Caenorhabditis elegans: one gene and its partners. Each later gene encodes a partner of the first gene's protein in a complex. Each region holds a gene or a part of one and is shown on either strand. Other genes may lie near its edges.

Region 1 (3,755 bases):
GAAAAAATTGAATTTTTGAGAGAAAAATTGATTTTTAGACGAATTTTTGGACTACAACGGGTTTTTTATCGAATTTTTGACGTTTTTAGTAGAAAAATTAATTTTTTAGTGGGAAATTTGATTTTTTGGCGATTTTTTGAAGTAAAACGCGTTTTTAATAGAATTTTTCGAAATTTTTAGAATTTCTAGCAGAAAAATCGAATTTTTGAGGGGAAAATTGGTTTTCAGGCGGGTTTTTTTCGAATTTTTTGAAATTTTTTGCATTTTTAGTAGAAAAAATTGAGTTTTAGACGAATTTTTGGACTAAAACGGGTTTTTTATCGAATTTTTGACGTTTTTAGTAGAAAAATTGAATTTTTGAGTGGGAGATTTGATTTTTTGGCGATTTTTTGAAGTAAAACGCGTTTTTAATAGAATTTTTCGAAATTTTGGGTATTTTTTAGCATAAACATTGAATTTTTGAGTGGAAAATTGACAAAATTCTGTTGTTTCTGCTGAAAAACTGGTTTTTTAAAAGAAAAATTGAATTTTTGATTAGAAAATTTGATTTTTAGGCCATTTTTTGGCCTAAGAAGAGGTTTTTATTCTAATTTTCTGTGATTTTTAGCGTTTTTAGCAGAAAAATTACATTTTAGACGGATTTTAGGACTAAAAAGGGGTATTTTATGAATATTTTCTGAACATTTCGGCGTTTTCCGCAGAAAAATTGAATTTTTTAGTGGAAAATTTGATTTTCAGGTGGATTTTTGGACTAAAACGCATTTTTGGTCGAATTTTTTACAATTTCTGGCGTTTTTAACAGAAAAATTGAATTTTTGAGGGTAAAATTGATTTAAGGCGATTTTTTGAAGTAAACCGGGTTTTTAATTAAATTTTCTTAAGTTTTTGGTTTTTTTAGCAAAAAAAAGATGAATTTTTGAGTGGAAAATTGATAAATTTTGGTTTTTTCTGTCGAAAATAGATTTTCAGGCAATTTTTTTGAAGTGAAAACGAGTTTTTTATCGAATTTTTGAAATTTTCGGCGTTTTTAGCGAAAAATCGAATTTTTCAGGTTAAAAATTGACAAAATCCGATTTTTCCACACAAAAAACGATTTTTAGACGAATATTAGGACTAAAACGGGTCTTTATGGGTATTTCCTGAACTTTTAACCGTTTTTAACAGAAAAATCGAATTTTTAAGTGGAAAATTTGATTTTTAGGCGATTTTTTGGACTAAAACGGGTTTTTTTCTGGTAAGTTGGGCGTTTTTAGTTTTTTTAATTAAATTTTTCTGAAAATTGGCCGTAATTTTTTTATTTTTGGCGTTTTTAGGAAAGCATCGAATTTTTGAGTGAAAAAGAGGCAAATTTTTCGAGTTTTTCGAGTTTTTCAGCTTAAAAATCGATTTTCAGGCGATTTTTTGGATTAATAAGCGGAAAATGAGCTGCAAGAGTGGAATTTCAAATTTTTTTGAGACAAAACTTGACTCAAAAACTGTTTTTTTTTTTTGGTTATTGAGGTGATTTTTAGAGTTTCTAGCTGAAAAATTTGGATTTCAGCGGTTTTTAAGTGAAAAATTGATGTTTTTTCCGGGTGTTTTTTCGGTTCAAAAGCCTATTTTTCACTAAATTTTCCAATTTTCAGCCGGATTTCCGCGTTTTTCTGCCAATTTTTTGCAATTTTTCCGTCGTAAAAACGCACAAACGATAGCTGTATTTTTCAGAAAGCTTGAGACGCTCAACGTAGTGTGTTCTTCAACTTTACACGCTAAAAATAATGCTGTAGAGGCTACGAGGAATGGGCACATGTCACGGAACGATTGCCTGAAAAATTCGACGTTTTTCCAGGTTTTTTATCATTTTTTTCCGAATAAACCTTAGATAAAATCGCTTAAAATAGATAATCGCAGTTGCAATAACCTGTTGACGGAGTTTACATCCAACATTTGCCTGTGAGTGGGCTCCTTCTGTGGCGACGGCGGTTATAACTGAAAAAAAACCAAAAATTATCGATTTTTTCGAGGAAAAAGTAAGGAAAAATTACAATTCGCCCAGAAAATATTCAATCGATTGTACTCTTCCTCGTTATAAATCTTCATATCCTCGGCGCGTTGCTTCCAAATCTCGGTTTTATCGAAAATCCATTGTTGGCTGGAAAAAATGGGATTTTTTTGGGTTTTTCAATGGGATTTACTTACCAATGACTGCTTTTCCAGAAATTTAAAGCCATTTTTCAACTAAAATCATTAAAAAAATGAAAAAATCGAGAAAAACAGTGGAAATTGAGTGAAATCGATGAAAATTCGAATAAATAAGAATAAATTCGGAGTGTGGATTTACGGTAAAGAACACGCGCCTGCGGGATTCCGGAGTGTCGTTGTATGTCTTTACGCGGTAGTTTAAATCGATTTTTTAAAGCTGGTGGATTATGGCTAGTTTAGAGGGGGTTTTGAAGTTTTTTTTTGTGAAAAATTCAACAAAACGTAGTCAAAATCCTTCTTCTGTGTTAAAATTCAAAAAATTCCATTAAAACCGAGACAAATCGAAATTTTTCTGCAAAGCCACAATAATTAATAATAATTTGGCTCATTTTTCAGAGTTTCTCATGAGTTTATGATTTTTGTGTCAAAATGCTTCCAATTTGCTTTAGGTTTATGTCAACTACATTTCACCCGTCTCCAATCCCTCTGACCACTTGAACTTTCACTTTTTCCCGAAACTAGGCGGAGTCTGGCGGGGGTGCTAGTGAAAACTATCCAATATGACACAGTCACCCATTTCTTGGATGAAAATCCGGCAATTTTGTTTGCAAAACTGAGCAGAAATCATCATTTGATAAGAAATTCGCACCTTTTTGACCTTTTTGACGCTGTAGTCACTGAGCAAATAGAAAAGTGGTACAAATTGGCTGGAAAAAGTCGTATAAAGGAGCTTTTTGGGGAGTTTTAAAGTGTGAAATTGGCTTTGTTAGGTGCTAATTAGTATATTGGAGATTTTAGGAAAAATTTAAAATTTTCGAAAAAAATTTTTTTTTTCGAAATTTTTTTTTCAGAAAATTTTTGTTCGAAATGTTTTTTTTTCAAATTTTCAGATTTCCAGCCAATTTCTTCGTCTATAAACATGTCCATCAATATGAATGCCAACTTTTTGAAGCTTCTCACCCATTTTCGGCGTCACGATTTGGTAAGTTGAATTTTTTCCCAAAAATTTGAAATTCCGACCTATTTTTGTTTAAGTCTTAATTAATGCAATAAAAATGCGAAGATTTTTCTTTGTTTTGTTTAAAAAAACATTTTTATAGCTTAAAAATGAGCAAAGTTATAGGATTTTTTCTAAAAATTTTTTATTCCAAAAAAAATTTTATTTTTTGAAATTTTCAACATTTTTTTAGTACGATTGTAACTTTTTATTTGAATAAAATATTTATCTACAATCTGCTTTAAAAATTATAAAAAAAATCTTAAAAATGAGAAAAGTTATGGTACTTTAAAAAAAAAAAAACTCAAAAAAATTTTTTCAAAAAAAAAATTTTTTTTTTTCAATTTTTTTTTAAAATTCCCCCCCAAAAGTACATTTATTTCTTATTAATGTTATTATGTACTATCACATCTTATCAGTACGAAACCCTTCGTGTTCTTCTGTTTTATTGAAACCAACGGAATATAAGGTGACGAAATGAATTTGACCTACTTTTTTCTGTTATTTGCGCCGCCGCCGAAAATTGGTGAAGAACAAATAATTATTGTGACCTTGTTAATGACAATGTCAATAATAG
Region 2 (3,231 bases), on another chromosome or scaffold:
ACGTATTCTTCCTGGAGCCAAATTCTTTGTGCATGTCGTTTGGGGTGAAGAAACCATGCGAACCAGACTTCGATTGTTAATTTGAATACAGATGAAATGGTATTACATTTGAAATTATTTAGGCTAGAAGTTCGCACAGGACAGCATCAACTAATCGATGGTCATGACTTCACATCTTTCCAATTTTCCGATGAAGAAGTTCTTCGTGCTGTTCCAGTTGGATTCCCCGCTATCAAGCCCGAGGACCGTGATCTGTTCGCTGCTTCTTATCGTAGTTTCTTCATCAATTTTTTCACTTCTACAACTGAATTCCGTGCTGCTACAAGCCGGAAGAAGAAAGAGATATGCAGCAACGACGACTCTACTCTACTCGAGACAACAGCTTTCCGTAATCAGACATTTGTCAACGACGTTACAATTGTTCCCAATACAAGATTTTCGAATAGAAAGTAAAATCTTAACCTAACTTTCCAAATATTCTCTGATTTCTGTCCAGGCTTCGAAAAAATTCACGGTTCTGTAAAATGTAGGTTTCAATTTCAATAAAGTGGTGATGAAGTTTTATTTGATTTACATTTTTTATGTTTATTTTTCTTTCTTTGAAACGGTAGAAGTTGTGGAATTCTTTTCGGCTGTGTCAGCATCCGGTTTCTTCATCGTTTCCTCATCATCTTCATCCTCTGTGTCCTTTTGTCGAATATCAGCTTCATCTTCAGATTCTTCAAGCTCTTGTCCCTCATCAGGCATCATACACAAACGATGCCGTTTCCGAAGATAAAACTGCCATTGGAGAACCACTTGATCTTCTACGAATTTCGCGCTTGGTCCTGAAAATAAGTTACTATTCTTCTGATAGATTAAATAAAATTTGAACTACCGTAAGCCATCGAATCGCGAAATTGCTGACTCTGCAGTGCTTCAAGCATGTGCAGACATTGAGGAAATTTCAAGCATCTGGCATATTGAGGATCTTTCCAATAGAGAAGATATTTGAGATAGTTGACAAAATATTCTTCTTTGAAATAACCACGTTGCGCGAGAACTGGAAAATATGAAATTTGCAGGAAAAAGAGTGCATAAAAAAACAAGAAACTTAGAATAAAAATACGTTTTTCTCTATTCTCGGCTAGTGTATGTGAATAAACTCACAATTAAGATAATTTGGATTTGCAAGAGCCTGCACGAATTCACATTCAACTTCAAATCTCGTCTTTTCACTTTCTACACTCTCCATCTGCATTGTATTGTAGCCTGAAGAAAAAAAAATGGAATTCAAGCTTCGAAAAATTACAGAAATTTACAAAATTTTGATATTATGACCTTTTTTCACCTATACGGTGAAATCCGTACTACGAAATGAGTTAAATATATTATTCCAATGGAAACATACCGTATCGATTGAAACTAAAACGACCCATGCCTATAAAACCATTTTATTAGAAAAAGAAAAACAAATTTAACAGATGGTGTTCATAAAGAGCTGAGATTGTTAATAAAACAAAAGTGAAATAATCTTAGGAGATCAACTTTTAATGGGTTCAGTTTAAAAAAGTGATGTAAAACTGCACAGGAGAGGATGACATAGAGTTGGGTAAAATAGTTATATTGTTCAATAATAGAATATTCAATCTAACTCCACTTTGAGCGAAATATTACTCTCCGTATCGATCGAGACGTGACTTGGAGTGGGTGTACCTGCAGATGAACGCGGTGGACGAGCAGGACGCGCTGCAACTGTCGCAACGGTCTGAAAAATATACTGTTTCATTGAGGACTATGAGAAAAATATAGATAATAGTACCGCAAGGATTACTAGGGGTAAAAGTTTAATTTTAGTGTCACATCTCACCTCTCCAATCTTCCTTTTCATTCTGATTTTCTTCGCAGAATTCTTGTCCAGATTAGCCAACAACTCGGTGGTATCGATTTTCATGCCGTTCTGAAAAAAAACAACGTCTAGCAGTGGAGACAACGCAAAAAACTTTACATTTAGTTCTCTAGAGATTGAAGTTGGAGTAACATAGATCTCGTCATCAGGCATCCGGCGTCGTCTTATTTGGTCACAGGTAACTTGTTGTTCTTCATCGCAGGCGCGTTCCTCTGCAAGACAGCGCACAAGCCGCTTGGTTTCATCAGACGACGATTCACGAGCAATTCCAAGACGCATTGGTTCGAGAAGAATCGAACGCATTCGAGCCTGAAAAATTATCAAAAATAAAAATAAGAATATAATATATTCACTTACATAAAAATTCGCATACTCTTTACTATTGGTGACCTCATCAGACAACCCGATATGCATACGTCTGTCTCCGTCGAGGCCCTCTCTCTCGTCGTTTTTGAAGTTGAATTGTTGAGCCAGAGAGACATCAAGAGGGTAAAAGTGTTCAGCAGAAAGACGATTCAATCCAGAACGGGCTTTTTGAAGCATTTTGTGAAGATCGAATGATGCAGCAGTCGGAGGAAGAGTTGACTTGGCTGGGCAATGTACATCATTTTGATTGCATGACTTTGAGTTAACATGTAAATACCATTCAGCGACTTCTTTTGACTTGTTTATGACCATCTGTGAGAATTTTAATGTGAATTTTCATTAAACTTTATTTTCTCTATTCTGACTCACATTCTCCACAAATCTTTTAGCGTATTTCGGCGCTGTGAAGCGATGTTCATTCCAAAACTTAGTGCCCCATTCTTTTACGTCGTGAGCACGAATTACAGAGCACAACGACTCCACAATGACCATTTGCTTTTCATCTTCAGCATCATTTGGATCAAATGTTGGCATTGTTTCTGGATCCAAATCGATCTTAATCGGACGAACACGACATCCGATTTGATCCACGTTCTGAACATTTTTCAATGGGTTAATATTCTGTACAATTAATTTACCTTTCTAAACTGTCGAGCCTCGTAGTAACGCGTCAAAGTCTTGCTTCTTTCTATCATGTAACGAACATCACTGAAAAACAAAATGTAATTAAAATATGGTGTTTTTTTTTTGGTTTTCAACTAACACTTCCGTGATTGTGAGCGATGAGAGAATTTCACTGGAGTGTAGTTCTTTGTCGATTTCGGCTGCATTTTTGTGCTTTTGAACAATTTCGTTGATTTTATCTTGGATTTTTTGATAATCCGGCTTATTCTTCAGAGCTCGAATTCTAGCGGCGGCCTGCAATAATAATAATAATAATAGTAATAATAAAAATATGAGTTTTAAAAAATTTATTT
Region 3 (3,755 bases), on another chromosome or scaffold:
AATTAGTGAAAATTTGAAATTTGACCAACTTAAATATCTTTGTCGCAGCAGCTGGAAACAAATTTTTTTTTGAAACTGTCGTCTATTTTTGAGTAAACAAGTAGATTATCTTGCGTTTTCAGTTTTATTAAGGTATTTAAAAGTCGATGGACGAAGAGATTTTTCAAATTTTTTTAATCAATTCTCTTCGTCCATCGACTTTAAATACCATAATAAAGCTTAAAACGCAAGATAATCTACTTGTTTACTCAAAAATAGACGACAATTTCAAAAAAAAATTGTTTCCAGCCGCTGCGACAATGATAAGTTGGTCAACTTCAAATTTTCACTAATTTTAGGTCATTTTTTGAGCGTCATAATTTTTTTTGGAAAAGTTTTCAAGAAGTTTCATTATCAAATTCGGTGTTTTCAGACAATTTTGAGTCTAATAAAGAAATAAAAAACTCAACTACACCACCTTTAAATCAAAATTTCACAAAAAATGGTTTTTTTCTAGAATGTTCCTCCGCGCCACTGAATCAATTCTCGGTTTGGGCCTTCTGGCTTACGGCCTTCTCGAAATCTCGAGAAATCCGACCTGGTGGGCCTATACGCCGGTCTACTTGGTCCCGGCGATCCTCTCCATCATTCAAATTCCACGGAACGCCACGTGGCGCACTCTCTCATCCCTCTCCATCGTCGCCGGCGGTCTCTACACGAGTTTTCTGCTGTGGACGTTCTCCTCTGTGGAATCTATACCGACGATCGATTTGGAAGAAGAAGCCAAGAACCTTCCGCCGGTAATATATTATTGATTTTTATTCTTAAATGATTCAATAAAAATCGTTCCAGGTAGCCCTTGGAGCCCTGCTGATCAGCTTCATCCGTCTCACACAGGATAAGATCTCCCAGCCGGTGCATTATGTCAGATCTTCGATTATTCTCGCTGTCGCTCTCATTAGTTTTTACGCTTTTATTTCATATTTTTAGTTTTCTTTTCCTCTGAAAAATAAATATTATTAGCTTTACAATGTAATTTCCTTCGGAAGTGAGGACAAAATCGCGGTTATCGAATCGCGAAGCTTCGAGAATTCTCCATTTTTCATTAGAGCTAGAGCTCCTGGAGCATCAGTGAGCGGTTGACCGAAATAACCGATTTTGCAGGTACTAATCTGAAAGATAGCTTTATTGTTTTGGTAAAATCCCGTATTCAACGCACTTGATCCTCTGCAACACCAATGTCGATTGTTACATCAGGATTTCTGATTGAAAATCCACTATTTTGAGTTGAAAACACGCAATGTTCTCTGAAAAAAAAATTATTTATAAAATTTTTAATTTAAAAAAAATTTAAAAAAGCACTCACCCTAGGCCTTCAGATAATTGTTGAACTTTTCGAGCAATAGTAGCATCATTATCAATTGGTAAATGCTCTTTCATAAAAACCAGAGAGCCAAGAACGTCGAGACGGGTTCGTGCATCGAGTGTTTGCCTTTTCTCCTGAAAATTTGATTTTTTTTTCAATGAAAAACGGTGGAGATTGCAGTTACCAGCAAATTCCTCCTGACAGATCTCGCAAAATGCTCCCATCCCAGCTTTTCTGCGCTTTGGCGGACATTTTCCATTCGCAAATCTCGATCGATCGACTCCAGGTTTAACTCATGATTTTTCCTCTCTTCAATTATCATGGTAGGTTTCGCTACCTGAAAATCGATAAATATTTAATTATTTGCTGTTTAATAATATAAAAATTGAGAAATTTTAACGAGAAACCCATTAAAAATGCAGTTTAAAATAGAAAATCGGTGCAAAAAATATTTTGTTTTGCTGCGAACGACACTCCGTTATAACGCGGCGCGTGTTGTTTAGCAGGCGGATTTTAGGCCACAGCCACTGGCATCAATTGGCGGGTGTTTGAATTTAGATAATTCGTCTCAGGGTTTAAAACCGGTTTTCTGCAGAAAAAATCGATTTTCAAGTTATATTTTATTAACAAAAATACATCATGTTTCATTAATAATCTACAAACAAAATCAATTTATTCATCATCCTCGTGGTGTCTGGTGCGGTGGCGGCGGAGAGTCTTGATATCTTGATCCCGTTGGGCCATTTGTTCAGCAGCCTGGTCACGGTCACGGCGGTATTCTTTGTAGTTCTGAAAAAGAGAAGGAAATGTGATTTTTAAAAAAAAACGTTGTTTGAGCTCAATTGAGAGGAAAGGTCTTGGCGCGAGCGTTGCAAAATTAAACGTGCGCACGGGGTTCTGGCCTTCCTCATTGAATTTTTCGCGCTCCATTGACAATCGCCTGCCGGAAAACACGTGGGAAAGTACTCCACACGGGCAAATACATTTAGTTTTACAACTAAAATCGAGCCGCGACGCGACACGCAACGCTCCGTAAATCTATGCCAGATATGGCCGAGCCTAAATGACCTAGTTCGGCAAACTCTTCCATTTCAATTTATGAGGGAAGCCAGAAATCCGTGGAAAAGATTAAAAAAAGGAGATTTTCAACTAAAAATACATGGTTTTTTTCTTTAAAAATTCGAAAAATCGATGGCCTAGTTTTTTTTGAGTCCTAGGCCACCTACCAAATACGCCTGGGGTCTCTGCCCATTGCTGGCGCGAACACAGTAGAACAAGTCGTGAAGGCAAGTTGGAAGATATGTCTGTTGAAGCCCAATGTTCACAATATTATCGGCTCTGAAAAAAAACAAGTTTTATTATTAATTTTAAAAAAATTTAAATTTACCTGTTATATGGATAATGTCCACCTTTTGCAAATTTATAATCATTCTCAAGCTGTGCCATACTTGCCGGCCGTCCGTCGAAGAATCCGAGATAAGTTGGTGGATAGTAATTCGGGTAGTACCAGTTACCGAACTGCCCGTAGTCTCTGGCGGTATTCTCATTATAGTAGATATACTTTGGCAGGACTCTCGGCGAGTTTTCGTAGGTCCTCTGGTAGAATGTGTCGGCGACCTGGCGGTTGGTGGTGTCCGCCAGTTTTCCCGGCCCGGGGCCTCCGCCGCTGAAATTGCAGTCCGCGACGAACTGAAAGTTGGGAAGGTTGCACATCATTTTTCGAGTCTCGCAGCGAATTATAACTTAGTCTTGACACGACAATTATCACGTGGTGTCAAAGTGCCCCAAATGCGGGAGAAGAGACGCAGACTTTTAAACTAATTTCGCATAGTTAAGAGTGTGCTGAGAGAAAAATTCCAGCATTTTTTGTAGATCAAACCGTCATGGGACAGCCTGACACCACGTGAATTATTGGTTAAATGGAAATGAACTGTGCGCCTTTAAAGATTACTGTAGTTTCACCGATTTCCCATAGATTTTCTCACGATTTTTCAAAGTTTAAGAGTTTTCATAATATATTTTTATCGAAAAAAAAATCGCTGGAAATTTAGCAACAAAAGTAGATTGTGTCGAGACCGGGTACCGTATTTTCGGTACAAAAATTGCAAGTTATTGCGACTAACTAATATTACAAAGCCGCAGAGAGTTGTCTGTTGAAGAGACGCATACATATCGGGACCCAAGGGGCGTGGCGCGGGAAGAGCCAAAATTGTGTAGATTTACGGAGATCCACCTTGTAAATTTACACGATCTTGGCTCCCCATATATCTGAGTTCCCTGTAAATACCACGCCCACAAAACTGTGCCCATCTGAGCTCAAAAATTCAGATTTCCCATATTTGTGTGACTCGTGGCAAAAATTGAATTTTCCGCAACGTTCAAGGTTCTATGGGCAGATTTAGATTCTCCC

Evidence for each region.
Region 2: cic-1 (region 1) and mdt-31 share a complex: the UniProt entries of both Caenorhabditis elegans proteins name them as parts of the mediator complex.
Region 3: cic-1 (region 1) and sop-3 share a complex: the UniProt entries of both Caenorhabditis elegans proteins name them as parts of the mediator complex.

What each region holds. Positions count from the first base shown.
Region 1 is NC_003281.10:2,398,999-2,402,753, forward strand, and holds the start of cic-1 (Cyclin-C), read right to left. Parts: upstream 2,224-3,755; 5' UTR 2,211-2,223; coding exon 2,179-2,210; intron 2,132-2,178; coding exon 2,025-2,131; intron 1,969-2,024; coding exon 1,857-1,968; intron 1,805-1,856; coding exon 1,683-1,804; intron 1-1,682. Other genes in the region: Sterol 4-C-methyltransferase strm-1, read left to right, coding at 3,101-3,163. UniProt on the Caenorhabditis elegans protein: Component of the Mediator complex, a coactivator involved in regulated gene transcription of nearly all RNA polymerase II-dependent genes.
Region 2 is NC_003279.8:8,964,317-8,967,547, reverse strand, and holds mdt-31 (Mediator of RNA polymerase II transcription subunit 31), read right to left. Parts: upstream 1,435-3,231; 5' UTR 1,419-1,434; coding exon 1,391-1,418; intron 1,252-1,390; coding exon 1,150-1,251; intron 1,043-1,149; coding exon 878-1,042; intron 828-877; coding exon 586-827; 3' UTR 547-585; downstream 1-546. Other genes in the region: spd-2 (Spindle-defective protein 2), read left to right, coding at 1-75, 123-453; snpc-4 (snRNA-activating protein complex subunit 4 homolog), read right to left, coding at 1,625-1,747, 1,802-1,939, 1,988-2,197, 2,246-2,566, 2,624-2,848, 2,893-2,962, 3,018-3,172. UniProt on the Caenorhabditis elegans protein: Component of the Mediator complex, a coactivator involved in the regulated transcription of nearly all RNA polymerase II-dependent genes.
Region 3 is NC_003279.8:2,774,416-2,778,170, forward strand, and holds the start of sop-3 (Mediator of RNA polymerase II transcription subunit 1.1), read right to left. Parts: upstream 1,687-3,755; 5' UTR 1,668-1,686; coding exon 1,530-1,667; intron 1,480-1,529; coding exon 1,346-1,479; intron 1,287-1,345; coding exon 1,199-1,286; intron 1,152-1,198; coding exon 1,009-1,151; intron 1,007-1,008; exon of another isoform or gene 970-1,006; coding exon of another isoform or gene 832-969; intron 780-831; coding exon of another isoform or gene 498-779; exon of another isoform or gene 497-497; intron 1-496. Other genes in the region: Y71F9B.1 (uncharacterized protein), read left to right, coding at 498-779, 832-969; Y71F9B.13 (NADH dehydrogenase [ubiquinone] 1 beta subcomplex subunit 7), read right to left, coding at 2,018-2,134, 2,572-2,683, 2,733-3,034. UniProt on the Caenorhabditis elegans protein: Component of the Mediator complex, a coactivator involved in the regulated transcription of nearly all RNA polymerase II-dependent genes.